Sus scrofa: one gene and its partner. The protein of the gene in region 2 interacts with the protein of the main gene of each other region in a pairwise test. Links are inferred from orthologs where the notes say so. Each region holds a gene or a part of one and is shown on either strand. Other genes may lie near its edges.

Region 1 (15,759 bases), on a different chromosome or scaffold from region 2:
CAGGGCCGGGGTGGGCCGGAAGCCCCGGGGGGGAGGGACTTTCTCCTCCTCACCGTTGTGTCCCCAGTGGCTAGGACAGTGCTTGGCCCACAGCAGGTGCACAGATGACATTGTTGAAGAAACGATTCTATTGCTGGCTTAAAAAATTGCAGAATGGCCCCATCTGCATAAAAAGATGTTTATCCTACACGTATGTGTTTCTAGATGCATGGGAAACACCCGAAAGGACACCCAGGAAACTGAACCGTGGACACCCCTGTCAAGGGGACAAAGGTGCAGAATAAAACAGGAGACTTGGACCTTGCAGTGCAGGCTTCGGTAATGCCCCAAGCTGCCCGGAAGCGTGTATTCCTTTTATGACAAAAATCTAGCTTAGGAGTTCCCTCTGTGGCACAATGGGATCAGCAGCATCTTTGCAGCACCAGAATGCAGGTTTGATCCCTGGCCTTGCACAGTGGGTTAAAGGATCCGGCGTTGCCACAGTTTTGGCATCAGTTACAATTGCAGCTCAGATCTGATCTCTGGCCCAGAAAGTCCAAAAGCCACAGGGCAGCCAGAAATACATTTTTTTTTAGTTTAACAAAATGTTACTTGACCTACCTGAGCCTCAGTTTCCTCATCTGTGAAATTAGGAATACTGACACCTGGCCTGGGAGAGTTCCTGTGACATGTAAGGAACAGATAAGGCCACATGAATAGAGCATTTTATATACAGTCCCTTGGTACCTAGTACCGGTCAATAACTACAGAAAACAGGTGTGGGATTTTTTTTTTGGTTGGGGGTGGCTGCCCACATCATGTGGAAGTTCCCAGGCCAGGGATCAAACCCGTGCCACAGCAGTGACCTGAGCTGCTGCAGTGACAATGCCGGATCCTTAACCTGCCACACCACAAGGGAACTCCAATACAGGTATTTTTTAGGAGACTTCAGGGACGCCTGCCTCCGGGCCTTTGCACTTACGTCCTCTGCCTAGAACAGTCCTTCCCAGGACATCCCCTGTTCTCTGCTCAAACGAAACCTACAGACAAGCTGGCTCTATAATCAACTTACTGAAATGTGCCCCCTGCTTCCACACCATCCCTCCTTACCCCCTTGACCTTGGCCTGATTTCCTCCTCCTCTTGGCTGGTAAACACTGTCTGCCAGAGTACATATTTGTTGTCTGGTTCCCTCATTACAGTATAAGCTTGAGAAGAAACTTTATCTCTGGCAACTAGAATAATGCCTGGCAAAGAAAGAGCAGGCATGCAAGAACTATCGTGGAATGAATCAACAGTGTCTGAAATATACACCATTAAGGAAATGCAAGCGAAACTTTGGAAGCTGCATGAAACCACGGGAGACCAGGAAATGCTTCCCAAATCTGAGCCAACTTTGAAGGCAAGCAGAGAGGAGAGCAGAGAGCCGGCAGCACAGCAACACTAACTGCTGGCAGGGGTGGGAAGAGGATGAGGCGCAGAGGCAGGCTCTGAAGTTCCCCAGCCAACCCGGGGAGTCGGGGCTCACCACACCTGCTCATCTGCAGAGTGCTGGGCTTTGGAAGGACTTAGGTTTCGGAGGGAATACTAGCCATAGAGAGTTTTTTAAAGCCCACTCTCGTTCTCCGGGTGAGAGATAAGATCCTGGATGTTGCAGGAGGGACAGAGAGAAAGGGGCAAGATAAGGTGCAAGCTTGTTCATTCATTCCTTCACTCCACCCGTGAGAGGTAGCAATGGGAGTTCCTGCTGTGGCACAGTGGGTTAAGAATCCGGAGTGCATGGAGTTCCCGTCGAATCCAACTAAGAACCATGAGGTTGAAGGTTCGATCCCTGGCCTTGCTCGGTGGGTTAAGGATCCAGCATTGCTGTGGCTGTGGTGTAGACCGGTTTTCAGCTCTGATTAGACCCCTAGCCTGGGAACCTCCACATGCCGTGGGTGCAGCCCTAAAAAGGACAAAAGACAAAAAAAAAAAAAAAAAAAAAAAAGACAAACTACTATATGCAAAATAAATAAGAAACAACAACAAAAAGAATCCGAATGCAGCAGCTCAGGTTGCTGCAGAGGTGCAGGTTTGAGTCCCAGTCCAGTGCAGTGGGTTAAAGGATCCCACATTGATGCAGCTGCGGCATAGGACTCAGCCATGGTTCGATTCAGTTCCTGACCTTAGAACTCTCATATGCCCCAGATGTGGCCATTGGAAAAAAACAAAACAAAACAAAACAAAAAAACAAGAGCTCTCGCTGTGGCTCAATGTGATCAGCCGCAGTGCCTTGGAAGCCTGGGATGCATTTTTCCATCCCTCGCCCCACACAGCGGGTTAAGGATCCAGCATTGCCGTAGCTTTGGCTTAGGTCGAGACTGCGGCTCAGATCTGATCCCTGACCCAGGAACTCTACATGCTGCAGGGCAGCCAAAAATTGAAAAAAGAAAAAAAAGACCGAAAAAGAGAGAGAGATGGAAATGACGGTTCCTGGACGCTGCTGGCAGGTGGGGCTGAAGGAAAAGGGGGTTTCTCCCTGATGGGTGACGATGCCGCTCTTGGGGGTCCAGACTCTGAAAGGAGGTGCAGGCTTTGCAGGAAAGGCTGAGTTCAGGCTGGGGCTTGCTGAGTCTGAAGAACCCGTGGGATATCCGAGGGCAAACTAGAGCTCCAGAGAGGCCTGGGCTGGATGTCCCTGCTGGAGTCAGTGGCACAGCAGGCGAAGCCGCGGAGACCGCATAGGCTTGGTCTCGAGATTAAGAGGTCTGAGGGAGGGAATGCGGGGCACATGCCATTTATGGGGTGGGGTGGGGGCCCTGGGAACAGCCCTGCCTAGAACTTGAGCAGGAATGAAGAGAAAGTGAGAAAACTAGCAGAGCACAGCATTTTAAGAAGCATGAAGTTATGGACAAGGTCAGATGCTGTAACACAGGTAAGATGGAAACCAAAGCGCCATCAGGACTCACTGGAGATTACCAGGAGTTTTCGGCAGGAAGCAGAAGCTTGAATCTGGCGTCTTAGACCACTTGGCCATCCTGACACACCAGAAGTTTTCAGGAGAATTGTGGGCAATGTGGGTCTTTCTGAAATTGTGTGACGAGCAAGCAGGTGAGGAAATTAAGAAAGGAGTCTATTCTCAAGAAACGCGACTGGGAAGGAAATGGTAGGACAATACCTAGGAGACCCTGAAGCGGTCTAAACAGGTTTCCTGGGATGGAGCGGACGGAAGGCAGAAGCTTAGGGTTCAACGAGTGACCAAGTCCATGGCATGGTTATTGCCCGAGACATCTGAGGTCCATGCTAGATGTTCCCAGGTTGATGAGAATGATCCAGAAGGGAGGAGCCATTGACGATGCTGGGAGAGAGCAGGGTCCATGGAGCAGGTCAGAGGGTACGGACCCCAATCCTGTGTGAAGGGCTGGCACTGCCCTGCATCTCAGTGGAAGGCAGAATGCCTGGGCGGAGGCGCAGGTGGGTGTGGTCAGCAGAGTAATGGCTCCCCAGAATGTCCACACCCTCATTTCCACAGCCTATGACGAGGCCGCCTTACATGGCAAAAGAGGCTTTGCAGATCTCTTTGAGGGTTAAGGACCTTGGAGCTCCCATTGTGGCTCAGCACTAACAAACCTGACTAGTGTCTATGAGGACAAAGGTTTGATCGCTGGCCTCACTCAGTGGGTTAAAGGATCCGTCATTGCCATGTGCTGTGGTGTAGGTCGCAGACGCAGCTCAGATATGATATGGCGTGGCTGTGGCGTAGGCTGGTGGCTACAGCTCCGCTTTGCCCCTAGCCTGGGAACTGCAATATGCCCCAGGTGCGGCCCTAAAAAAAAAAAAAAAAAGTTAAGGACTTTGAGGCAGGGATTATTCAGGTGACCTCAAAGACATCACGGGTCCTTACAAGTAGAGAGACCAGCGGGGCAGTGGAGGAGGGTCAGAAGGAAATGTGGTATAGACGTGTCAGGTGTAACGTGGCTCCTTTGAAGCTGGAGGAAGGGGGCCACCAGCCCAGGAATGTGGACGGCCTCTGGTGGGAAAAGGAAGGGAGTCACCCTCAACCTTCAGCCGGAAGTGCAGCTCTGGCTTGACCTTAGCCTGGTGAGTCGTCTCAGACGTCTTATGGAACTGCCCGAGAATACAGTCACATTGCTTTGGGACACCAAGTTTGTGGCAGTTTATGGCATTCATAGAAGACTAATACCACAAGCCAGGGGTTTGAAGTGGGAAGGAGGCAGTTCCCAGGAATGATGAAGCAGGGCTACCAAACACCTAGAGCAAGGCTGTGAGGGCTTGGAGGGGCTTTGAGAGGAGGGGGTGCGAAAGGCTCGTCCGGCAGAACAGGAAGGAGAGCAGGCTGGAAACCAGTGGGCCCAGGCTGCACAATAGGCAGAAGCTGCCCTGGCCCCACGGAGGCTGCCAGTGGTCTCTGCTCTGGGAGCCACGTTTGTTGAGAAAGAAAAGCGGCTTCTCTCAAGGGCTTCAGGGAAGCTGACTCACGGGTGGGCGGGGGCACAGGGCCAGAGTTCTGGGTTAGTGGCTTCTGACCTCAGGAGGGCCCTGGTGTCGGAAACACCTCTCTCTCCAGCTCAGCCGCCTGTATTTTTTGTTGTCGTTCTTCCTCTTTTGGCTGCCCCTGCTTGGGAGTTCCTGGGCCAGGGATCAGATACGAACCATAGTTACGACCTAAGCCCCAGCTGCGGTGAAGCCAGATCCTTAGCCCACTGTGTCGGGCCAGGGATCAAACCCGCATCCCAGCGCTCCCAAGACTCCGTCATTCCCCTCGCACCACAGCAGGAACTCCCAGCCTCCTGTACTGTGAACCCCATGGCCTGGGCTCCCTTCCTACGGCCTCTGGGAGGATGTGCCAAGTCTGGGCACCAGTGTAAAGAGTGGTTCCTTCTAAACAGTCCCTGGCTGATGCTCCCCAAATGGCATCAGAGCTCATGACAGTGGCCTCTGGTTGCTGCTGGGAGTCACAGGGGACAGAGGTCTCACAGGTGGACCTGGTGGACATGACCTCTATCAATTTATCTGGCCGATTAAAATAATCCCAGGAATGTCTCCATCTCTCTTGAGCTCTTTTATGGACCTGCCTTCGCCACCTCACCCCCTCCATAACTCATCTCAGTCACTAAAATTAAGGTGCATCTGGTTAGAGCCTGGTGGCTGAGGCCTAAGACTGGATCACAGGGGAGCCATGGTGAAACACCCCTGGTGGCCAGGACCTGCTGAGGGGCTCTTGTTCAAAGGGCTCTGGGGAGAGTTGGTTTTTTTTTTTTTAGGGCCACACCCGCGGCACATGGAGGTTCCCAGGCTAGGGGGTCTCATCGGAGCTGCAGCTGCCAGCCTACACCACAGCTCACAGCAACGCCAGATTCGTGACCCACCGAGTAAGGTCAGGAATCAAATCCGCAACCTCATGGTTCCTAGCTGGATTTGTTTCCGCTGTGCCACGATGGGAACTCCGGGACAGATGTTCTTAAAGCAAAGGGCACACACAGAAGAGGCGACCAGGTGTCAATCCTCAACTGTCACACGTTGACCCCACCTGGGCATTGCCAACTCTAAGTGAGGACAACAACAAGCTGCTTTGGGGTCCTGGGGCGGGAGGTGCAGGGCTGGGCCCTCTGTGGCAGTGGCTCCTATCAACGGACCACAGGCTCTCTGCGGGCCCTGACCCAGCCCAAGGGGGCATCCCCTTCCTTTCAAGGTTTCTGACCTCCTGGGCCCAACTGGACCTCAAGTTCAAGCTGCCTAGGCGGGAAACTGGGTGGGTCTCCCCGACCCCAAGGTCACTGGCACTGGGGAAGCGGCCTCTTCAATCAAGAAAAGGGACAACCTCAGTAGATCACCATCTGCATCGCACTCATGGACCCAGACTTTTGAAAGGAACGTCCCAACCACAAGGCCGGCAACCAGGCATTCGTTTCATTCCCAGAAGCTCACGAGCAGAATGGTCCAGGGACAGGCCGTTTCCTTAGAGCTTGTTGCTCTGGCGACCGACTCGTGCAATGGTATCCACCACCAGGGTGCACCCAATTCCCGGGAGGGTGGGCCATGCCTGAGGACCTGAGGGGAAACCCATCTGGAACCACGTGGCCACAGGGAGGTAGAAGCACTGTCCACTGTGAGACCTGCCACAGCTGTCCCATCTGCACTGCCATCATCCTACTTATGTTGCTGACCAAGGGCGAGGTGTCCTAAAAACACAGCATTAGACACAGGAAAAAATGTGCTTGGTTTCGTATTTCTGCATTTGGCACATTAATGACACTGACTTTCCAAAATCCTTTATTTAACAGAATTGGAACAAACGCTGGCAACCTACTACACGAACTCAAGTGTGCTAAATGCAAGACATACAGGGAGCCTTGCTTCTCTCTGGCAGCTCTGGGCAAAGCTGCAGAATGCCTCCCTGTGTCCTGGCTGAATGGCAAGTTTGAGCTTCTGCTCAGACCAGGGCTGCCAGGGCCCGAGGTCTCCTTCTGCCAGGACACCCGTGCCCAGCTCAGCATTGCTGTCACCTTTGCCCCCAGACCCACACAGTGCCTGAGAAGTCTGGGACAGGTGAAATCCCGGAGAGCCCTGGCGACCCTGCAAGATCCTTCCTCCTGCCTGTAGGTCCCTCCCTGCACCCACCAGGGGCTGGTCCATAAATATTACTCCTTCAGGAAGCAGGGCTAGCGGCCTAGCTGGGCTGGTTATCCCTGCTGTTCACGGCAAGCCATCCTCTGGAGGAGGGTGGCAGAACCAAGAGACCCAGGACCCTGCCCCGACACACTTGGACCCCAGGGAGGAGAGACTAGAGCATGAGAAGGCAGGGTCCACCCTGCAGACCCCAAACTGGCCATTGGTCACCAAGGTCTCCAGACACTATGGGCCATGTGCGCAGCAGTCAGACTGCCCAGGGCTACGGGCACCAACTCTGGCCCCTCAACAGTTGCCCGGCTCAGTTCAGCCTCTGGGGCCTCCTCCAGGTCAGAGGACTGGTCGTCCCCGGAGCCCCGCGGGCTGGGCAGTGGGGACCCCAGGGGACCTCCCACTGGCCAGTTGCTCCGCCCGTGGACTCCCGGTGGCCCGGACAGGGCGTCCCCCAGCAGGTCCCTGAAGCTGCTGCTCTCGCGCAGCGGCATGGACTCCAGCAGGTGGTTCAGGAGCTCGGCGGCGACGGTGGCGTCGATTGCCTGGCACGTGGACACGAACGTGTGCACCTCGTGCATGCACTGGATGTAGCCGGCGGCGAAGCGCTCGCTTGCTTCCGCCTGCAACTGCTCACGCTCTACGTTCGAGGATGGAAGGGGAGAGAGCCGCGCCGGGCCCCGTGAGCTGCCACTGCCGTGGCCCGGCCCACCCGGACGGTGACTCACCCAGGAGAGGTGGGGAGCGCGCACCCCGTCTCAGGCCGGGAAGCCCTGGCTGGGTCCGGGGCAGGGGCAGGCCAGGCGACCGCGCTCCCCGCCTCCGCCCACGCGCCCTGCCGCCACTCACCGCGCGCCCGGCCCCGCAGCGCGCCCTGCACGCGCCGCACGGTGAGCTCCAGCACCTCTGCGTTCTCCAGCTTGGCCTGCACCTGCGCGGGCGGGAGCGCCCGGTGGGGGAGGGGCGGTGAGGCCCGGCCCGCCCGCGACCCCCGCCCGCCCGCCCGCAGCCCTCGGGCGCCCGCCCGTCTCACCTCGGCGCCCGCCAGCAGCAGCCGCAGCTCCTGCAGGCTCTCGTTGATCCGCGCGCGCCGCTTCTTCTCCACCAGAGGCTTCCGGGCCTGCGGGAAGCGAGCAACTGAGCCCCGGCGCTGCACGGCTCCCCGCCCGCCCGCTCGCCCACGCGCGGCTACAGCCAGCACCTTGCGGTCCCCCCTCGCCTCGCAGCCGTCCTCATCCTCCCGACCCGCACGGTCCCGGCCGGGCGCCAGCAGCGGAGCCATCACCCACACCGACCAGACCGCGGAGAGCGCTAGAAGCCCCCCGCGCTGCCCGCAGCTCAGCGGCCGGGAGCCGCCCTCCCGGCCTCCCCGCGTCTGACGCCGCGTCCTTACGCCGGCGGTCGCGCCCGCCCATTTTATAGCGCCTTATTTGCATCTCAATGCACCGATTGGCCGCCCGGGCCAATGAGAGAGGCGCGCTTTGTCTGGCCCCGCCGCCGGGTCGCGCGGCAGCTGGCAGGGCGTGGCCTGCGGGCGCGGTGGGGGTGGGGAGCCCAGCCCCGCCTCTGGGCGAACCCAGCGCTGAGGGGCACCCGAGGGGGCGACGACCCGGGGCGCTGGAGCCCGAGGTGCGCTAGGTTGCCTTCCTACCCTGAGCAAGGTCCGCCGGTGGGCTGTGTGTGCGAGCCGGAGCTCACCCACCCATCATTCATTCACTCTTTCCTTCACGCTTGACTTTGTTGACCGAAGGCGCAACAGGAGAGGAATCCCATGAGGGCACCACCGCACCGGCCGCCGTCTACCGACCTGGAGAGAGGTCTACAGGTCCGGCTGGGGTGGCTGCGGAGTTCCTGGGAGGTGAGGGCCCCCAGGGCAGCAGGGGTGGGAGCGGGCCCGAGGCCACCTTGCGTTTCTTGCGGACTCAAGCTTTGCCATCTTCTGCCTGCTCGGGGGGCCTCCGCCGGCCCCGCCCGCACTGCTCTATCTTTAGGCTCTCCTTCTCTGGTGATGCCCCTTGCCGACCACCTTTTCTAGTTCCTGTCACCGCCAACCCTTCCCTGGTCCCCAACCCAAGCTCGCCCTTCCCTAGTTCCTACCCTCTCTGCACCCCCTTCCCTGACCCCCGCCCTCCCTCCCCTCCCAGCCTTCCCTGGTCCTCACCCCACTGCACGTCTTTCCCTGGTCCCCCACTCCTGCTCCTTCGCCTTGGCCCCCATCCCCAACTCTTGTCCCCTTCGTCCCCCTCTTTTCCCCCTTCGGCTCCCTTCCCCCCTCCTCTGCCCCCGCCCCGTCCCGCCCCGCCGGGCTGGCCGAGGCTGCCGTCTGGTCGCCGTAACTTGATGCCTGTGACAGTTGGCAGCTGCAGCCCCTTCAGCGGAGAAAAGCGGCGGCCCAGCCAAGAGCGACAGGTGTTGGCCGCGCCTTTGTCTCGGCCCGCTTTGTCCCTCGAGCGGGCGCGGGCGGTGGGTGCGCCTGTGGCCGCTAGACGACCGCCACCCCCAGGCCGGCCGCCCATCTGCTGGCCCGGCTTCCCCGAGGGTGGGGTGCGTGGTGGGTGGGGCCGCGCCCTGTGGGTCCCTGCCTGGCCGCTGCTGGGTCTCACCACCCCCCAGCAGAGCCAGAATACCAATTTGCCTTCTAGCCGCCAGGCCTTTGCACACACGGATCCTTGCACCTGGAACAGGCTGGGGCCCCCCTTGGGTGGCTCCTTCCTCCCTGTCTAGGCCTCAGCTTCCCTAGCCCTCTACCTGCCCTGCCCTTGCTCAGTCCTCTGCTTCTCTCCCGGGCCTGGGATTGTCAGGGTCTGCTCTTCGCCCCTCCAGGGGATAAGTGTCCCTGGTGGGGGTAGGTGCTCACCGGGACCCGTTATTTTCCCTGAGCAGGAGCCTGGCCTAGCAGAAGCGCTGGGTGGGTGGGAAGGTGAGATGTCCCAAGCCAAGCCGGCAGGCAGCAGGGCAAAGAAAACTCCAGAGACTGAAGTGTGGTTGGGTGGTAGGACTAGGCCACAGACTGGAAAAGTCGAGCAGAGACAGCCAGGTGAGAACGGGCAGAAGGGGCTCCCAGGTAGTTACAGAGGTCGGTTTGAGGTCTGAAGATGGATCTGGAGTTCCCGTCGTGGTGTGGTGGAAACGAATCTGACTAATATCTGTGAGGACACAGGTTCGATTCCTGGCCTCGCTCTGTGGGTTAAGGATCCTGTGTTGTCCTGAGCTGTGGGGTAGGTCGCAGGCAGGCCGGGAGTTACAGCTCCAATTTGACTTCTAGCCTGGGAATCTCCATATGCCATGGGTGCGGCCCTAAAAAGATAAAATAAATAAATACATGAAGATGGGTCTGACAGCTATTCAGGTGACTATTTCACCTAAGACTCCCCACCAGAGGGACCTCCACAGGGAGGGCAAGTTTGGTCAGGTGCCTGATGGTTCTCGAAGTCACCTCACTAACCTCATAACTACCTGGGGGCCCTTTCTGCCAATTCTCACCTGGCTGTCTCTGCTTTTCTTTCCTTTTCTCTCTTTCTTTCTTTCTTCCTTTCTCTCCCTCCCTCCCTCTCTCTCTCTCTCTCTTTTTTTTTTTTGCCTTTTAGGGCCACACATGTGGCATATGAGGTTCCCAGGCTAAGGGTCAAATTGGAGCTGCAGGTGCCAGCCTCCACCACAGCCACAGCAATGCCTGATCCGAGCCGCGTCTGCACCTACACCACAGCTCACAGCAACACCGGATCCTTAACCCACTGAGTGAGGGAAAGGGTCAAACTCATGTCCCCGTGGACACTGGTTGGGTTTGTTACTGCTGAGCCACGACGGGAACTCCCTGTCTCTGCTCTTCTGTGTGCAGGGCCCCGAGACGTCCCTAGGGCTGCGTTGCTCCCCCAGGTATGAACCCACTCCTTTCTTTCAATCGCCCCCTGTTGTCCTGTGTCCCCCAAAAGCCCAAAGCTTGGCTCTCTTCCTCCCATCCTCCCCAGCCTGGTCAGAGGCCCAAGTGCCCTTCCCCCTGTACTCCTGGGTGAGGCTGGCAGAATGAGGAGGGGCTTGGGTGGTAGATGCCGAGAGAGCCAATAGCTGGCCTGTGACTTGACTTGTCTGGACCATTTAGACATCACCCCAGGGAAGGAGAGCCACCCACCCCTCACCCCCCAAGGAACTGCAATGAAAGTTCCACTACTTTGGGAGTTCCCTAGTGGTCTAGTGGGTTAAGCATCTGGTATTGTCACTGCTGTGGCTTGGTTTGATCCCTGGCCTGGGAACTTCCTCATGCTGCAGATGAGGCAAAAAAAAAAAAAGTTTCCACTAGTTTGAGAAACTCAGGTATGGAAAAGTAATTTCAGTGATATTTCTTGTATTCTGATCCATACTCTTCCCATTACTGATTATATTGTTTGAACACAAGTATTTTAGAATGCTGTGTTGAAAGGCAGGTTCATATTGGTACAGGATGCTCAGGGCCCTAGGGAGGCCCTCTGGGAAAGGTGGTCTTTTCCTGATTGGATGGGGAGCTGAATGTAGGAGGTGGAGGATGAACGATAAAGGCAAATGGTGCAGGCAAAAAATGAAAGGCCATAGGAACTCCGGGAAAACCCAAAAGCCGCCCAAGAAGAGAAATGTAGTCTTAGCACTTACTTGGCCCAGGAGCCAATTCTTTCACAGTCCCAGTGATGTAACGCTCTTCATAGGGCTTCGACATTTAGAATCAATCTAGAAAAGGCAAGGAAGGCTTCATTATGGTTGCAGACTATAACGTTGACTTTGTAAAAACAAAAGGACAGGTTACAGTTGTCAGGGGAAGGGAGGAGGCCGACGAAGGGCTAGGGGTCTCAAAAGCCTTGTCTACATGGGGTGAGGGATCGAGGAATACTGTCTGGAGTTGAAGGCAGGAGAAATTAAGTGCTGGGATGTGCCTCCGTCTGACCAAGTACCTTGGGGAATAAAAGTGGAGGAATAGGGCAGGTTGTGTGAGTCCGCAAAATCCTTCCTGCTTAGACTAGAAGTTGCCCAAGGTCTCATCTTTGAAGTCGGCCTCAGTTTCCTTAGTGGGCCCCCTGGCTGGGCTGTTAGGCCTTTTCCTCCTAGAAGCCTGGGCACTTCATCTGGAAGCCACCAAGCCCTTTCTCCCTCCTTTGCACGGCCTCCCCAGCAGACCGCTTCCTGCCATTTGTCCCTTGCACTGATTCCACCTTCAAAGGTTGCTTGAGCACAGACTTCCTGAGCATTTGGGCTCTTTGATCCCCTCACATCCAAAAGCAGAGGCCAGCAGAGGCTGGGTAGGGCTGCCGTGTCCACAGGGGGACCAGTTCACGGCAGGAGTGGCAGGCCATAAATTCCCAGGGAACAAAGGCGGTGGCCAGCCTATGGATGTCCAGGCCCCTTGTGGCAGTCAGCCCCGAGGCTTGGAGAAACTGCCTTTGGTTTGGAAATAAAGGGGAGGGGCGGCTCTGGGGTTATGTGGGAAATAAAGATGCAGTTAGGAGCCCCTGAGGGCACGCAGAAGTTCAGTGAAAGAGCCATATATGGCCATTTAGGGAGTTTGCAGACTGGGGACCTGGCCTTTGTGTGCCCAGCCTCCCCACCCCCAATCGCCACTTAGACTTACTCACTTTTTTTTTTTTTTTTTTTTGGTCTTTTGTCTTTTTAGGGCCGCACCCCCTGCATATGGAGAGTCCCAGGCTAGGGGTCTAATGGGAGCTGTAGCTGCCAGCCTACACCACAGCCATAGCAGCGCCAGATCCGAGCCACGTCTGCGACCTACACCACAGCTCATGGCAACGCCAGATCCTTAACCCACCGAGTGAGGTCAGGGATCAAACCTGAGTCCTCATGGTTCCTAGTCGGATTTGTTTCCACTGCACCACGGCGGGAACTCCTATTTACTTTTTATTTTATTTTTTTGTCTTTTTGGGGCCTTACCCATGCCATGTGGAAGTTCCCAGGCTAGGTGTCAAATCAGAGCTGCAGCCTACACCATAGCCACAGCAATGCGGGAGAACCGTGTCTGCCACCTACACCACAGCTCACGGCAACGCCGGATCCTTAACCCACTGAGGTCGGGGATGGAACCGGCGTCCTCATGGATACTAGTCGGGTTCGTTTCCACTGAGCCACGACGGGAATTCCACCACTTGGACTTCGGTGGCCAGGCCAGGAGGCTGAGTCAAGCCTCCCTCCTGCTCAGGGAGCTTCTGGAAGATTGGGCACCAGGTCCAGGATCCGCTCATCGCCCTGCTCCAGTTCCACCGCAGCCCTGGGGCGAAAAGTGGGAGGAGGGAGGATCGGGCCTCCGCTGTTTGGACCAGGCCCCGCATGGCTTCACACAGGGCGAGGAAGGACGGGGCCTGGGCGGAGGAGGCTGGGCCGGCTGCCTGCCTCACCTTTCTGGCCCTGGATCCGTCAGCCCTCTGCCTTTAACCCTGTGGCCAGCACGCAGGAGCCAGCCCAGCTGGGACAGACTACGTGGGCAGGGTGGGAACAGGATGGAGGAGGCGCCTGGGGTCCCCTCTGGGTGGACAGGAGCACCGGCGGCTGTGCTGCGTGGCCCCATGCCCCCTCTGGGAGTGGAAACCTCGGGGAGGGGGGGACTGACTCTCAGTGTTCCATCAACATCATTCCATCAGCATTCACTGAGCTGGGGGCGGCCTGTCGGTCACACAGACGGCAAGCGGCCAGTGAGAGGCCGAGGGGGGCCTTTGCAACAGAAGAGTCCCTACCCCAGAATTTCCAGGGTTTTATTTGTTTATTTATACATGAAAACATTTTTTTTTTTCTTTTTACGGCAACATCAGATCTGAGCCCCATCTGCGACCTATGCTGTAGCTCGTGGCAATGCTGGATCCTTAACCCACTGATCAAGACCAGGGATCAAACCAGCATCCTCATGGATACGACGCTGGGCTCTTAACCCACTGAGCCACAATGGGAACTCCCTCTAGGATTATTATTTTTTTCCTTTTTAGGGCGGCATATGGAAGTTCCCGGCTAGCTGCCGGAGTGACACCACATCACAGCCGCAGCAATGTGGGATCCGGGCCACGTCTGTGAGCTGCACCACAGCTCACAGCAACCCTGGATCCTTAACCTACGAGAGAGGCCAGGGATAGTACCCGCATCCTCATGGATACTAGTCGGGTTTGTTACTGCTGGGCCACAACAGGAACTCCCTCCCTCTCGCATTCTTTTAAAAAAACAATCCTTTGATAATCTTTGATCTTCAGCCTTTTCTCTGTGCTATGTTAAAAATACACACAAAAAATAAAAATATACTTGCTTTATTTACCAATTTTCTAAAAGGCAAAAAAGTCATAAAAAGACACAAGCAGTCCAACAAACATATTGCACTGGGTGAAGAAAGTTCGGTTTGTGCGTGAACAAACCACTTGTCCGGCAAGGCCTAACATGTCATGACACAGACTCTGAGAGCTTATTTACATCTCTTTTGAGGAATATATTAAAAAGAAGGCTCAGTTTCAAATTGAGAAGTTTCTATAACACCCGCGTAAGCACACATACGAAAGAATACGTAAGACGATGCATGGCGCCATGTAAACAATTTCACCAAATGCTCCTATTGTCAACTTCTCAGCACACGGTTGAAGCTACACAGTTAACAACGGGCAGGTATGTGTGAAGAGTGAGATAATGCCAACGGGGAACATTCGTGACAGTAGAGAATGTTTTGGCAGTTTTGTGTTTAGGTGACATCAATGCAGCCCTGGCTATCGGCGAATCCCTTAATGATCTGACTTGAGAGGCAGGAACGTTAGTAGCATCTCATCTCCACACAAACGCACAGGCTACCCCTCGTCTGGGGCCTCTGAAGGTGATGTTACTTTGTAAATGAAAAAAAAAATCTTTTTGTGTCTGAGTTTATGAAAAATAGGATTGATATTCAGGCGTAAAATGGTTTGGCCCACAAAACCCAAGTGGATTACAAGGAGACGACACCTCCTCCAGCAGATGCTTCACCATCAAAGAACCAGGCAAGGGCTGCTTCCGTGTAAGTTTCTAGACTCCGTCCAATCCTAAGTCGATTGTCTGGCCACTGGTACCTGCTCATTCACTCTGGGGACCAAGATAACGTTGTTCCAAACAACCTTTGGGATTAATGACGCACTATGAGGTTTCGCAAAAGGTGGGCAGTCTGGTCTCGCTCTTCCCCCAGGGTCCCATTCACCCGAAAGTGCCAGTGACACTAGTGGATGTCCCCGCACAGACCGGAAGCTGCACCACTGAGGTCAGGCTCGTGAGAAGCATGAGGGTCAGGGTCCCAGCTCAGGGTGCGGTGGGAGTGGGGAACTCACAGCAATCTGGGGGATGCAGATGCAGCCCCCAGGTCAGCGGCTGCCGTCCGCGGGGAGAAAGCGCTGGCTTGGCTGGGCCAGGGCTGATGTCTGGGAGGTGCCAACCAAAGGAAAGACATGAGTGGGTTCGAGGGTGGCCATCAAAGCCTGGTTTAGACGGAAGCCACGATAAGGGGATGACTGACAACGCATTGGTATCTACATATTGGCGATCCCGTCTGAAAAGGACCCAGGCGTGATGGCGCAATAGACAGAAGGGTCCATGTATTTCTGTTGATGTGTATTTCTATGGCAGAGTCGGTCACACAAACCATGAGGCTTCTTTAGTCCAGAGTGAGCATTTCAACTTTGTTCACCCCAAACGTAAGCTACATCAGGTTGAAATATTTGCCACTACCACACTTGAAGCTGAAGCTGCTGGCTTGCCAAACTATGCTTCACACCATTTATTTTTATTATTATATTATTATTATTATTATTATTTTGGCCTTCCATTGGCAACTTACGGAAGTTCCCAGGCCAGGGATCAAACTTGTGCCGCAGCAGCGACCCCAGGCACGGCAGTGACAATGCTGCTGGTCCTTAACCTGCTGTGCCACAAGGGAACTCCCAGCTTCACTTAATGCAAAACATTTCCATTTAATGCAAAACATTTTCAAAGAAAATCAGGAGAGACTGTGGTCTCCTCCACTTGGTATGTTTTAAAAACATCTAGTCTGACTAATTTAGAGAAAAAGCCACCCCCTCTCCCAGAGGACAGAATTTGATCTGATCCAAACAGCCTGGCGAAGCTCTTGGGAGCCCTGGCCCTCAGCTCAAAGTCACCCCTGGCTTCTCAGCTGTAGGTCACAGCCTAGCCTGGTATG
Region 2 (15,515 bases):
CTTTATTCAAGCTCTACTTCAGTTTCAGGAAATATATTCCCTGAATTCTGTGGAGATCACTGATTAAAAAAAAAAAAGAGCATCCTGAGGTTTAGACAGATTGACATCTTTGTTGTGCTTTGCACCACCCTCCCCTCAAGGTGTGTTCCTAGTCCCTTGGCACCACTTTTTCTCTCCATAAATTCCTGGGGGCCGAGCTCTACCTGCCTCGTATAGTAGCACCTAGAGGTCAGTCGTAACTCACACTAATAATAGCTTGGCTTAAGATTCCAGCTAAGTTCCAGATTCCTTCACCCTGTGTTTTAATGCCAGACATGTAATTGAGAAATCTTCCACCCACTTGTTTAGTGTTTAAATAAATCTTTAAACTGCCTTTTTGGAGTTGGAGCCTAAAGAGAAGAGAAAAGCTAAGCTACATTTGGGTAAAATTGCCTCTTAGGAAAACATGTTTTGCAGCAGTGAACAGAGGCATTCCTGGCTTCTGCCCGAGAAGGCGTATCTCAGGGGCCACCCCTGCCGCCCCGCCCCCCGCCTGATTTTGCTTCTCATTTCTCTGTTGACCATGACTAGATTCCACTGTTGGTCTATTTAGTGGATTTGAAAATTAATTCAGCATCCTCTTTACTTGTTCTGATATTTGGGTGTTTTTCGGTCTGTTAAGTGCTAAAAGTAACATGCTGGTTTTGTGTGATGTTATCACCATGTGGGTTTTGGTTTGACTTCTGTTTTTCTACCTTTTGAAGGTCTGGAATGTGAGGCTAATTTCTTAGGATTATATTGAGGTGAGAGGCCCTTCTGTTCATGTGACTTATGTTTAGCTGTTGCACAATTGTCCCTCCCTTTACGTCTCTCTCTCTCTCGTCCCTCACCTCTTCAGAAATGGCTTTCAGCTTACCAGGTGTAAGTGCAGTTTGTCTTTTTCTTGCTCAGATAAATACTGCTTGCCTGTCGTGGTTTGTTCCTTTGCTAGGATTTTTGAATTGAGCTTTGAAGTGGCCATATTTCAGATTTACCTTTGTCGTACTTTTCATCCAGGCATTTCTCGGTTTGTACCTTTGTCCTGCATAGGAGCCCTGTTGCTGCCCAGTATGTTTACAATTTGGAAACATTTAATTTATAGAGAAAGTAGGGCCTAGAGATCAGAATCGTAAATGCCGACTTTGGCCAGGGAACCTTCTAGTGTATCAGCTAGGCCGTCTCTTCTTGTTTGCTTTGTTTAGTAATTTTCTTTCTCCTAACTATTCTAAGAAGTTCTGTATCTGCATTGTTAAAAAATGAGAATAGCCGTGTATTCACCTAAATAAGGAAACAAACAAAGTCTCCTGTCTTAATGCTTTGAAGTCCTCAGCTTGTAATTTGTTACCAAAGCCCTTCGTTGATGTAGAACTGCTGTCTTCACATAGGGCAGGGCTTGCGCCTTGATCTGCAGGTTTGCTATTTGGGAGGATGCCTGGAAGTCAAACTGGAAAAGTCCTGTGGAAGAAGTCAAGGACTTCTCAGAGGTTATGGGTTAGATGTGCAGACCCTAAAACATGTTAAAGGTAAAGCTTGTTATATTGGCAAAGAAAGACATTTTGCCCTAAGTAGGTGATGCACCCGAAGACCCTTTTTCCCCTGAAATCTTTGAATAATATGGCTCTGATTTTCTTATGACTCCACATCATAGCACCCCAGCCACCACCTTCACTGCACTAGTTCTTGAGGCTGAGAGTATCCTCCAAAATCTTAGGTTCATATTATTCTCATTTGACTTAAAGTGAGCTAGATGCCCCAGTCCTCCGCCCAGGGCTCCGTAAGGAAGCACAGGGAAGATGCTGACACGCCTGGTGTTCTCGTTCTGTGTAGGGTAGGTGACTCCATCGCACTCCTGTGACCCTCTTGCAGTGAGAGTGTCAAAGGTAGTGGAAGCTACGGTAAAGGTTAGAGCCCCGCTTCTGTGCTTGGCCTGACCTCCTACTTTCGAGCAGAGTTGGATCAGTTACTGTCTCCTGTACTGCTTCCTCTCCTCTCTAAATAATAAGCGGCGGCGAGCTGCCCCTGTGACATGAGAACCAAAGGTTGCGTCTCTATTATGCTTCGTATTTTTCTGCGTGGACTGTGCCACACGATTTCATTTACCCCCTGCCTCAGCAGTCACATTTACAGGGTACGTTTCATCAGGGCATGTTATAAAAATAGGGAACTGAGGCCCGAATAAGTTCCATATGGTCCCTACATCTTATTAGTGATTAAACTGAAACCTCATCTGGGTCTCCTCACTTCCAGGACTGTCCTATATGTTCTTCAGCACCCGGGCTCAAGGAGCCAGCTTGTCACATGTGACTCACAGCTGCTTCTACTGCAGATGGTGTCTGAGGAGGTCCAGCGTCCGCTGGGCCCTGCTGCTGGGGAAGGGCTGTGAATTTCGTGATTACCATTGCTCTCTTTGTCTTTGTTTTGCCGGTGGCCAGTTCCGAGTCTCTGGGGACTGCTTTCCCTCCTTGGGAAGCTTGGTACTACCTATTAGCCAGGACGACTGGCTAATCTGGTAGGACAACTTCGGAACATCAGCTGGCAGATCCCTGGTGGCGAGAGGATCCCCACCTTCTTGGAGCTGACTGTCCTCGCCTTGATGGAACAACCTCTCACACCTTAATCTATTGTCATTCGATAGCAAATAGCAATATAGGGCATTTGGATTCATTTACTGAGGGCCCACTGTATGCTTGCGGGCGAAGTCATCCCACCTGTTCCCGGAGGACCAGGGAATGAGACAGACAGATGTAAACGTGGGCAGAAGTCCTCAGCATGATTCCAATTTATAGGATAAGCCAAGGCCCTGGAAAGGATTCATTCAGCCTGGGGGGTTATGCAGGCTGCCTGAGGGAAGGAGGAAGGGAAGAAGTGACATGCGCTGAGGAGGAGGCGGCACTGTTCTCCGCAGGAGGGAACAGTTTGTGTGCACTGTGAAGATGTGACAGCATGCGATATTTTAGGGGATTGGCCTGTTCCGGCGGCTGCGAGTTGAGGAGACAAGACGGTCACAGGAACCAAGGCTCCTTGACACTCAGTCGTGAAGGGCTCACTGACTGCTTGAAGAGCGAGTGAAGGTTTTGATGTGAGCAGAATTCTTTTGCATACCTGGTTGTATGGCAAGAAATTTTCCATTGAAAGGGCCAGGTCCACAGGCAGCGGGGCCTTGGCCTCAGCCGTTATCTCCTGGGTCCTTGCTTCCTCGTTACTGCTTGCTGGGTCTTGCCACTGCCAGACCTGTTTCCAGAAAGCCAGCACCTCTGAACACCTGTTTTCCTTTGGCCAGAGAACACAGCATGGTTTTATTAGCAGGAGCCTCTCTGCTAGGGAAGGACAACCTGATTCCCAGCAACTCTGTCCTGATTCCCCGTTGGCAGCGCCTGTGGCAACTCTGAGTTCCTTCACTTTTGCTGTGTGCCCTGCTCCAAAGGAGTTTGATTTCATTCAGTTTTTAAATCTGTGATGTTGGAGTTCCCGTCGTGGCGCAGTGGTTAACGAATCCGACTAGGAACCATGAGGTTGCGGGTTCGATCCCTGCCCTTGCTCAGTGGGTCAAGGTTCCGGCGTTGCCGTGAGCTGTGGTGTAGGCTGCAGACGCGGCTCGGATCCCTGCGTTGCTGTGGCTCTGGCGTAGGCTGGCAGCTACAGCTCCGATTAGACCCCTAGCCTGGGAACCTCCATATGCCCCGGGAGCGGCCCAAGAAATGGCAAAAAGACAAAAAAAAAATAAATCTGTGATGTCCAGGGGGCTTTATTCCCCTCACTTCTGCCACCAGATCTCAGAATTAGCTCCTGATCTGGAGTTGATTCGAGCAGCCGAGGTAGTGGTTGGGGACTCAGCTTTCTGAGGCTCCAGGAGGCGAGTGGGCAGCCGCTAACCAGAGCCTGAGGGGCTCTTCCTTTCTGCCCCACACTTTGTCCCAAGCCTCTCCGAACGTCCTCTGCTCCCCTTTGCCTGGTGCTATCTCCCCACCTCGCCTTTAAGATTTATGAACTTGCTGATTTTCCTGGCCGCATCATTGCCTCGTGTTTTCCTGGCTGCTTCCTTGCACTGTCCTCCCTTTCCGCATTCCTGGCCCTCACACTTGTCCACTGGTCGAGATAAGAGCCCTGGATTCAGCCTAGCCTCACTTTCCTCTTTTTAAGTCACGGGTGTTTCATAACGATGCTGTCATTTCCCGAAGGCCCTTGCAGGTGTCGAGCATAGTGTAACTGTTTTGCACTTTTGCAGCTGCTGTCTCTTTTAATCCTTACAACAACCCCTGCCACCCTTATATTTTATTTTTTTTTTCTATCTCGTCAATCAGGAAACAGACGTATTATAAGCCACAGGTAGTTAAGAGACCATAGTCAGTGGGGCCATGAACCCCGGCCCCGCATTTCAGGTCCCTTTAATGCCAGAGTCTAGGCTTTCACCCTGGCTGTGACCTAATCTACTGTGTTCATTGGTCGGAAGCCCTCCTGTTGCTTTTTTCTTGAATACACACATAAATCTAAGCTTTTCACATTGTGGTATACATGAGCAAAGTGCATGTATAGCCCCGTGACTCTGCACCCAGAGCCACCCAAGAAACCCCCCCATCCCCCTTCCACTTGCCAAGGGGAACCACCACCCTGACTTCTGATACCAGAGGTGAATCCTGCCTGTAAATGCAGCCATGCCATATGCATTCTTTTGTGGCAGTCTCTCTCTCAATTCAGTCTTGATAGCTATTTATGAACGTACATTATCTGTTTATAATTTCCCCCTCCTGGTTGATCTTACTTTTCCTAGTTCTTCAGTCAGTCAAGAGGGTAAGTGTCCTTCTGGAATCTCTTTAACATGGTCACTATCAAGGTAGGTATCCTTTTCTCAAAGACATTCTGTTGTTCCTGGAGGCGGATAGGTGAATAAGTGACTCCAGGCTGTCTCCTTTGCTCCCCTGGTTGTCCCTTCCCATCAGTCTCTCTGTGAGCCCCTCTCTACCCACCCCAAAGCCTTTTGCCTCTTTCGGGTTTGTTCATTTGATGAGGCTCTCCAGCACAGCGGGCAGCGCCAGCTTCCTCCAAGGCCCCCTGTGACTGATGTATTAACATCCATATGGGTTTCCCCTGGGACAGATGAATGTTCACAGCTTCTGGCAGCAGTTCGCTGTACTGTGAATCAATTTTAAACCACCTCAGTGTGATGATCACAGACCTCCTGTGCAGTTTAAAGACGAGGACACCTGGGAGAGAGGTGGGGCTCTTCCAGAGGCAAGCATACAGCTCTCCGTCTGTCCTCTGTGCATCTATTTTAATCTGGAACATTTAACTCTGTAATAAGAAGGGTTTCAATTGAAGCAAGATAACGTTTTCTTCCAATAAAAATCTGGAATTGCTAAAAGGGGATCTGATGGAGACTGCCTACCTGGAGGTGCCCACCTTGATTTATGGCAAATGGAATAACTAACATAATTTACATCTGCTGTTATTCTCACAGCACAGAAAGCTTTAAGAGGCAAGCTCTCTCCCCACGTCAACCACCATTTTCAGAAAAGACATTCCATTTGATTGTTTTATTTTATGAACATTTAGTGGTCATTTTCTCCAGCTCCATCTCGTTATTTGCTTGTTATTCTCAGACCCAGGTCATGGTGCCTGGTATCTGAGTCATGTAACTTGCTTCTGGACCTTGAAGAGTTCTCCTAGAATGTGAATAGACTTAAACCCCAGTCTTTTTTTTTTTTTTTCTTTTAATTTTATGGCTGCAGCTGCAACATTTGTAAGTTCCTGGGCCAGGGATTGAATCCGAGTCATAGGATCCTGAATCCTGTGGATGGGATTCCTAACCTACTGTGCCACAGCAGGAACTCCTTAAACCCAGGACACTGATACGATCCTATTTGATTCCAACTCCAAATAAATGGCGTAGGTTCAACTAACTATAATGTATGTATGTTTAAATATCATGTGCAGCCCTAAAAAAAAAAAAAAAAAAAAAAAAAGACAAAAATAAATAAATAAATATCATGTGGGCTTGATACGTTACTAAGGATATCAAAGGATACTGTGACATAAAAAAATAGGAGATTTAATCACAAAAAAGAAACAGATTTGCAGATGAAAATAACAAACTACTGGTTACCTGGGGGAGAAGAGAAGAGGGAGGGGCAATATAGGGGTAGGAGATTAAGAAGTATAAACTACTTTGTGTAAAATAAGGTGCAAGGATATATTGTGCAACACAGGGAATATAGCCAATATTTTATTACTGTAAATGGAGTATAATAACCTTTAAAAATTGAATCGCAACGTTCCCATTGTGGCTCAGTAGTTAACAAACCCGACTAGTATCCATAAGGACATGAGTTCAATCCCTGGCTTTGCTCAGTGGGTTAAGGATCTGGTGTTGCCATGAGCTGTGGTGTAGGTCACAGACATGGCTCAGATCCTGTGTTGCTCTGGCTGTGGTGTAGGCCAGCTGAAACAGCTCCAATTCAGTCCCTAGCCTGGGAACTTCCATATGCCTCGGGTACAGCCCTAAAAAGACAGAAGACAAAAAAAAATTGTGAGTCACTGTTATACACCTGTACCTTATGTAATATTAAATACCAACTATAGGAGTTCCCGTCATGGCGCAGTGGTTAACGAATCCGACTAGGAACCATGAGGTTGCAGGTTCGATCCCTGGCCTTGCTCAGTGTGTTAAGGATCCAGCATTGCTGTGAGCTGTGATGTAGGTCGCAGACGCGCCTCGCATCCCGCATCGCTATGGCTCTGGTATAGGCCAGTGGCTACAGCTCTGATTCGACCCCTAGCCTAGGAACCTCCATATGCCGTGGGAGCGGCCCTAGAAAAGGAGAAAAAAAAAACAAAACCACAATAAATAAATAAATAGAAAAGGAGAAAAAACACAATAAATAAACAAACAAACAAATACCAACTATACTTAAAAAAAATAGGAGATTTAGTGGTTTGGTGACATACAGGCTTTGAACTGTGGTGGTTTTTTATGTATATTCATTTCCTAGGACATTTGGTGTGGTTCCCATTGTGTGTAGTCAGTAATTCATATGAAGAGTAATGTTAAGGATTTGGGCCAAATAGCCATTTTATATTCATTATTGGAACCAGTTTACCAGGAGATTACATATCTTTTGGTAGAGGGAAGGGGAAATTCTTTTAAAAGTCTTTTCATATATTCGATATTTTTTTTTAGAAAGAAAATAATTGCATATGTTTTATTTGCAAGCCAGGAAGTGTGTGGGTTCTATGTGCAGGCAGGTAGAAACCTGATATCTTGTATCGGTTTTCAGTTTTGTGCATGCTAAGTTATTTTTCCAAATTTGAGTTAGCATTAAAATGAAAATTTAAGTTCTGTGTTAATAGCCATGGTCTTTAGAATCTGTAAAGGGACTGCAGGGTGCTAGTGATAAGTTCCAGAAAGAGCCTAGACTTATCCCAGAGGGTTATGGGAAGGAGGAAACTCTGCATATTTCATTTATTGTTTATGTGTACAGCAGACCTATAGAAAAAGTTGAATGTTAAACTTTTTTTTTTTTTTTTTTTTTTTGTCTTTCTACCTTTTCTAGGGCCGCTCCCGCGGCATATGGAGGTTCCCAGGCTAGGGGTCCAATTGGAGCTGTAGCCACCAGCCTACACCAGAGCAGCGTGGGATCCGAGCCGCGTCTGCAACCTACACCACAGCTCACAGCAACGCCAGATCCTTAACCCACTGAGCAAGGCCAGGGATTGAACCTGCAACCTCATGGTTCCTAGTCAGATTCGTTAACCACTGTGCCACAACGGGAACTCCTTGAATGTTATATTTCTAAATCAGCAAGTGATGGCTTTGCATAAGAAGAAAGTGAAAGCAGTGGTCTTCAGTGTGTCTTGTTCAGATTTGGATGGGAAATAGTAGCACTTCTATGTCTTCTTTCCTCTATAAGTTCTTTTCTTTGTGCATATTTTATAGTGTCTATAATATATTAGTGCTTGAAGTTTAAATAGATCGTTAGGGAACAAGTATGCTTTACGGTTTTGGGTGGAAGCATGCACTAGGATTAGGCTTATTGGTATTTACCAATAGCTTAAATAACATATAAGTTTATCTCTCTCCGTGCCCAAGGCAGTTATCATAGCACCATAGTGCCACCAGGGCCTCTGCCTCCTATCTTAATGTTCTTCCCCTCCTTGGGAATTGATTTTCATCTTCAAAGTCACCTCGTGGCCCAGAAAGGCCGCTGGAGCTCCAATTATCTTGCTTGTAGTTCAGGTAGCAGGAAGAAGGAAGAGGAGGACAGGAATACCCCTCTTCGTCTTTTTAAACCCTTTTTCTTTTCTTTTTTATTTAATTAATAAACTTATTTTTTAGAGCTGTTTTAGGTTCACAGCAAAATTGAGTGGAGAGGACAGATAGTTTCCGTGTCGCTAAAGGCCCCCTTTCTTTTAAGTTATGAACCAAGGGCCACCTGACAGTTTCTGCCCGCATCTTACCAGTCAGAACATGAGCACAGCTGGCTAAAGCAAAGCTGGGAAATAGTCTTTTGGCTGGGAGCTTTGCTGCCTTGGTTGAAACTGGGCTCTGTGGCCAAAGATCTTGTCGAAGAGGAAACTTGAAGTCTTTGTCTCAAAGCCATTTGATGTAGGAGAAGCTCTTATTTTCTCTGAATTAGGCAAAAGAGAATTTAAGTCCAAAACTTAAAATGCTATGTTTAGAAAGCTGTTGTTGTTTGTCAGTGTTGAAGCATACTGTTTACTGTGTGTAATTATTATGAGCTAATAGTATGAGAGCTTCATCTTAAGCATCAAAAATCATCACGTTATATCACTCTAGGAAATCATACAGTTATACAAGGTACATGGAGGGAGGTATTCTGTGTTAATTTGGAAGCACATTTCACTGTTTCATAATGGGTTTTGGAGGAATGTTTTATGGAACGAAGAAGCACAATTTAAACATCTTCTAAAAAATTTAAAATATAGTTCAGTTACACCCTCGACTGTGGCTATTATTTTGTTTGTTCCATCTGCAAATACTTCAATTTATATTGATTTCAAAAGGAAATCATAGCAAGCCTCTTTCCTTTGTGCAAGTGGTGGGGGGGTGGGTAATGACTAATGGCTTTATGATAAATGTGTTTTCTCTCTCCGCTCCTGTTCTCCTCTCCTCCCTAATCCTCTCCTTTCCAAAAGTGCCTACTCCTTCCACGTTACTGCAGATGGTCAGATGCAGCCTGTGCCCTTCCCTCCCGACGCCCTCATCGGCCCCGGCATCCCCCGCCACGCTCGCCAGATCAACACCCTGAACCACGGGGAGGTGGTGTGCGCGGTGACCATCAGCAACCCCACGAGGCACGTGTACACGGGGGGGAAGGGCTGCGTCAAGGTCTGGGACATCAGCCACCCTGGCAACAAGAGCCCCGTCTCTCAGCTCGACTGTCTGGTGAGTGAGAAGGCACCGGTGCACAAGGGTAATTTCCCCCTGGAGACTCAATAAGGAAATCGCTGTCGGGGCCTGGGTTTTATTCCCATTATGAGGAAATGGAAGCCCATTCTGTTTCCTGTGTTAGCTCTTGAGCTCTCCCCACCCTCTCCCCTCAGTGTGAAGGTTTCATTTGTTGCTATTTCAGTGATTTAAATCCCAGAGTTGATGGATTTCTCTTAAAAAATATTTTCACAGTAGTTTACAGAAGCTGTCCTTGTGTGAATGTATTCAGAAGGGGGTTTCCCGTTTAATGGATGGAGCACAGCTAGGCCTGGACTCTGAGCCCTGCAATCCACTCGACTTGTAATTTCCCTACAGCCTTAGGATAAATATTGAAGAGTAAACATTTGATAACGTGGCATAAAACCATTCTGAACAGGGTCTGTGTTTTCAGGGAGACCTGGCTGGGTTTTATGATCTTAACTTCAGGAAAGAGTTAATAGATCACAGTGAAAAATCAGGGCGGTCATCAGCAGAGTGGGGGTGGGAGCAGTGCTTCCCCAAGGCACCAGTCTACCTTCCCCGAAGTGTGACAATACCGTGTTGCATTTCTGAGCATCATAGTACATGTCTCGACATATTCTCTGTGCAGTGACCACAGGATTTATGGACCATTTGCCTTTGGCCATAGGCAGACTGCAGGCCGCTCTGCTCCTGTAGGGTGTCACTTTGCTGTGGCAGCTGGTTCACTGTCCCCGCTGCCTGCCTGGCAAGTGAAATGGCAAGGGTTCCCAAGACGGTGTTTCCAAAAAAAAAAAAAGCATGATTGTTTTTGCGATGGAAAGACTCTTTGGGATAGTTCTTAGTTTATTTTTTCAATCAGATAACTTAAAAATATCTCCATTAATGAAATGTAAACATAGGGAAACATACATAAACATCGACCAACAGACTACAGTGGTAGGAGAATTTTGTAACACTTCTCTCCTTTTTTGAAATTGCGTTGCTTAATGTTTCTCTAGTCTTTGAACAACAGGCCACAGTTAAAGCATAGTAAAGACTTGACCTGTATCTGTTGAGTTAAAGGATAGCAGTTATTTCTTTCGGGGGCAGGGGGTGTTGTTTTAAGTCCCACCTCCTTTTTTAATGTGTTGTTTTTGAGAGAGATATGCCTTCTTTTATTCATTTCTTTGGCCTTTGGATTGAGAGGCTTAAATATGACAGCAGCCTCGTTACATCTTGAGAAAGCAGCTGTTTGTTAAATTCTTAGACAAGGATCCATCTGGCTAATGAAGACACAGTACAAGCCTTAGGCAGAGAGTTAAGGGTAATGAAAACCAAAACAGAGGCAGCAGGTCTGCCATTTCTATATAGTAAATAACGGAGGGTGATGAGGTCAAAGATTTATAAACGAGCTTTGAAAAGTGGTTTCTGCACGGAGAAGTACATGGGCACCTACCTTATGTCTCCTGATCCTTTGCAGTTCCGTCTACTCGGCAGGAAATTGGGCATCAGAAGCAGTTCTGGGTAACCACACATGCCTGAGCAACCCTGGGTGTTTGTTTACTGCTTCTAAAGAGCCAGTGGCCATCAGATCCTGATCTTTATCACAAGACTCGTGCTTTGCTAGTGTCCATGCAATACCACTTTTTTAAGTCAACAGCCAAGATAGCAGTTGGAGAAAATGGCATTGTGACTGCTTGGTCATGCATTATAGCAATTAAATTATGTTTATTTCACAGAACAGGGATAACTACATCCGTTCCTGCAAATTGCTCCCTGATGGCTGCACTCTCATAGTGGGAGGGGAAGCCAGTACTCTGTCCATTTGGGACCTGGCGGCTCCCACCCCACGCATCAAGGCAGAGCTGACATCCTCGGCCCCCGCCTGCTATGCCCTGGCCATAAGCCCTGACTCCAAGGTCTGCTTCTCCTGCTGCAGTGATGGCAACATTGCCGTGTGGGACCTGCACAACCAGACGCTGGTGAGGTGAGCAGAGGTGGTTTCCCAAGGGGAGGCTCCCTCCCGGAGTACTTGGGCCAGAAGGCCCCCTTTTATTCCTACTTCTCTGGCTGCTGCCCTCAGGCGCTCAGCCCACGCATTAAGAGCCTACCGTATGCCAGGCTTGGAGTTAGGAATAAAAAGATGAAACCGTGTCACCGTCCTCATGGGGCTGGGGCTTACGGTCTTGCTGCTGTGCTTGGATGTCACTCAGACTTTATATTTCCTTCCCTCATGTTCTCATTCTTCAGCCATGTACAGATGCCAGGTTTGTTTAAAAAACATTCCTGCCTCTTGCCAAAGGGTGGCATACCATAAATTAGATGGAGGTACCAAAGGTCTTCAATACTAGATGTTTTTGGCTTTGCTTAGACCCTCCTATGTGAAAACAGGAGCCAAGTGATAAAAGAATAACAGAAAATCAACAAAAGAACATTAGAAGAGGAGATTCCATGAACTTTACCCACAAAATGGTTTAAGAGTATCGAGTGTTTCTCAATAACTAAATAATCCCTGTCCAGGTGTCATTTTATCCAGGAGCAAGCCCAGCTGCCTGGAATCTACCACCTTCTCCTTGGCTTTGGTCAGCTCACCCCCTCTGGCAAAGGGAGCACTCACATTAACAGTATTAGAGAAAAGCCTTTAGAAAAGGAAGCATTGGAGTTCCCGTCGTGGTGCAGCAGAAATGAATCCGACCAGGAACCATGAGATTGGGGGTTCGATCCCTGGCCTCAATTAGTGGGTTGAGGATCCAGTGTTGCTGTGGGCTGCGGTGTAGGTTGCGGACGCGGCTTGGATCCTGCATTGCTGTGGCTCTGGCATAGGCCAGCAGAAACAGCTCTGATTGGACCCCTAGCCTGGGAACCTCCATATGCTGCAGGCACAGCCCTAAAAAGACAAAAGACAAAAAAAAAAAAAAAGGAAAGAAAAGAAAAGGAAGCACGAAATTAAACATCTAAGGCAGAACAGGCATGTGTTTCACCCTTCTGTGTCACCTTCACTCAGAAACATGGTTCTTGACACAGTTTTAGACACATGAGTCAGCAGGGCTCCTCCAGTGCTTCCGCGCCCATAGCTGGAGGGAAGGGACGGATTAGGGAATTCATTTTAGCAGCTCACTCTTTCTTCAACCTCATCTGTAGAAATCCAGTAAGTGTCACTGGGCCAGGCTCTGCCCCTACGTGAGGGTGATGGCGCAGGAGTTATTTTTCTTGTTGCTCACTGGGCAACTTAGAATGAGCAAAATGGACAGATGGACAGATGGAGCCAGAGCCAACAGCCTTTTCAAACTTTGAGCCTAGCAAGTGTTGGGCGATTTTTCTTTTCTTTCTTTTTTTTTTAATTTAATAAAACCACTTCCAAAATATTAATTCAGAGTGCTTTTTTCAAATGTTAATCTCTTTAACCCTAGTTGCTTCTTCATTGCTGTTATCCTGATTTTATCATGGAGGAGCTGTGATAGGGCCCAGGCACCCATCTCCATTGGGTGTGCTCTGAACTTCTCTCTTTGCTGACCGCCAGGGTCTCAATACCTGATGGCTATGACAGAGTCCTGCTTCACAAATCTCAGTTTGGACTAGCCACACGTGGCTAGTGGCTACTTTGTGTGACATGACAGGGCAATGCAGAGTCTACTGTTTTTTTTTTTTTTTTTTTTTTTTTTGTCTTTTTAGGACCACACCCACAGCATATGGAAGTTCCCAGGTTAGTGGTCGAATCAGAGCTGTAGCTGCCGGCCTGCACCACAGCCACAGCAATGCCAGATCTGATCTGCATCTTCGACCTACACCACAGCTCGAGGCAACACCAGATCCTTAACCCACTGAGCAAGGCCAGGGATGGAACCCACACCCTCCCAGATACCACTTGAGTTTGTTACTGCTGAGCTACGACAAGAACTCCCTTAATATCTTGCATCTGCTGTGACCCAGAGGAGCCTGAGGACAGCACCGAGATAGGTGGATACAGGGATGGAGAAATACCCACCGGGTGCTTAAGTCAGCAGAGAAAAATTTCTATATTCAAGGAATCAAAGTATTTCCTGAGTTCCAGAGGTAAAAGGAATTCGGAAGATGAAATGAAGAGGGAGGTCCCTGGGTTTCAAACGCTATTTGAAGGCAGAAAAGCAGCAGTTTGGAAACGGGTGGGGGGAGTGTGCGGCTACTCCAGGCCTGGGGGACCAGAGGGGAAGCCTCAGAAGGAGAGTTGGGTGCATGGAGGAGAGGACCAGGTGGAAGTTCTGAATGGTTTTCAGAGGTGACTTTTTTTTTTTTTTTTTTTGCTTTTTTTAGGGCCACACTCCCAGCATATGGAGGTTCCCAGGCTAGGGGTCAAATTGGAGCTGTAGCCACTGGCCTACACCACAACCACAGCAACACCAGATCTGAGCTGTGTCTGTGACCTATACCACAGCTCACGGAAACCCTGGATCCTTAACCCACTGAGTGAGGCCAGGGATTGAACCTGGGTCCTCAAGGATCCTAGTCAGATTCATTTCCACTATACCACTATGGGAGCTCCAGAGGGGCTGTTTTTGATGTGGCAGTTCACATCTTATCTCTGAATTCAGGGCACTGGGGTTGCTCTTGTCTTACCCTCCATGCCCTTTAAATTTTGGACTCAGCTTTCAAGATTGCCGCTCTGTGAGAAGGTAACAGGAAGGGGAGGCACTGGAAACTTTTCTCTGGGTGTTGAGGTTCCCACGAAGTACTCCTGGATGCTGCCTGCTTTGCCGTCCTCTTCAGGCCTCCGAACACCTCTCTCTGGTTCCCGGCTCTCCCCTGCCAGCTCCCTCTTGGCATGGACCAGACCAGACTCATGACCCCCAACCTTCTGGCCCTGTGGTGGCTTACCTCCCCCTGCCCCCAGCAAGCCCCACCTGGGACCTGGCAGAGCACCTGCGCCCGGCAGATCCTGGTTGGTCGCTTGTTCTGGGTGGTGGTTTTTGACCAAAGCACAAGGATCCTCTTTAAGAGAACAACAGCCTTGTGCTCAGCTTCGAGGCCACGCTGTGCCAGAGGCCGGTCCCAGCAATCAGCTCCGTCTCTGCTCTGCGCCTCTGAGTCAGGAGGCCGGCATGCCCCTTTGTCTCTGCGAGTCCACATTTCCTAATGCGGGTCTCTTTCTAGTAGAGAAAGCGAGGTTGAGTAAATACATGAGCTCATGCTTTGTTGGCAGGAAGGGCATCGCTGTGTTATTCACTCATGGAGACAGGAGTGCTTCTGGGCCCTGAGCTGGTAATGTGGTGATTCAGGCCCACGCGGTTAAAGGCCAAGCCTGCCTCTTTCTGGGAGGAATACACTTGGGATTCTGTGTGTTTGCCTTTTTCCCTCCCCCCGTCTTTTCACACTTAAACACTTTTCCAGACCTGGGAGGAATTTTTCGTTCCAGACGAATTTGTAAGAATAGCTCTAGGAGCGTATTTAACTTCTCCTGTGTGGTGACCTAAAACGGCATTCAGTTTCTTCAGCACTTGGATCCTGAAAAAAGAAGAAAATCTGCAGGTGCTGTTTCCTCTCCTCCTCAGGGGAAGGTTGGTCTGATCTTGCACATCAGCAGACACTGAGGAGATGACACATGCTCGGCAGGTCCAAAACCAACAACACAACAGTGTTTACCCTGAGCCCTGGCAGGAAATCGTTATTCAATCTGGTTTGTTTTATCAGGCAATTCCAGGGCCACACGGACGGGGCCAGCTGTATTGACATTTCTAACGATGGCACCAAGCTCTGGACGGGCGGCTTGGACAACACAGTCCGGTCCTGGGACCTGCGTGAAGGGCGGCAGCTGCAGCAGCACGACTTCACCTCCCAGGTGTGGGCTTGTTCTTCCCTGTGCAGCCACCTCCCCCCTCCCATCCCCAGCACAGTAGTAGCCAGACAAACAGTCTGGGCTCTAATTTGAGATACATACACACAGACCCCAGAAATCACCCCCAAATGCTTACAGTGTTTTAAAATTGCTGTGGTTTAAACAACCTGTGGGTTGTTTTAGTGGTATATGAGTTTGCTTCAGGAATCTGCGCCTGGAAGAACATACAGGGTCTGATCTGCTGTCCATCTTCTCACCATCTAACATGGGGTTGAGAGATGAGATGATGATTTGGTCCACATC

What was found.
Region 1: the proteins of transducin-like enhancer protein 1 (region 2) and HES6 interact in binary tests that used the Homo sapiens proteins (3 or more experiments, as listed by UniProt). The link is inferred for Sus scrofa from reciprocal best matches to the Homo sapiens genes TLE1 and HES6.

What each region holds. Positions count from the first base shown.
Region 1 is NC_010457.5:137,779,574-137,795,332, forward strand, and holds HES6 (transcription cofactor HES-6), read right to left. Parts: upstream 8,117-15,759; 5' UTR 7,882-8,116; coding exon 7,801-7,881; intron 7,720-7,800; coding exon 7,633-7,719; intron 7,531-7,632; coding exon 7,449-7,530; intron 7,240-7,448; coding exon 6,815-7,239; 3' UTR 6,235-6,814; downstream 1-6,234. UniProt on the Homo sapiens protein: Does not bind DNA itself but suppresses both HES1-mediated N box-dependent transcriptional repression and binding of HES1 to E box sequences.
Region 2 is NC_010443.5:234,281,420-234,296,934, reverse strand, and holds part of transducin-like enhancer protein 1, read left to right. Parts: intron 1-9,168; coding exon 9,169-9,418; intron 9,419-11,142; coding exon 11,143-11,390; intron 11,391-15,067; coding exon 15,068-15,215; intron 15,216-15,515. UniProt on the Homo sapiens protein: Transcriptional corepressor that binds to a number of transcription factors. Inhibits NF-kappa-B-regulated gene expression. Inhibits the transcriptional activation mediated by FOXA2, and by CTNNB1 and TCF family members in Wnt signaling.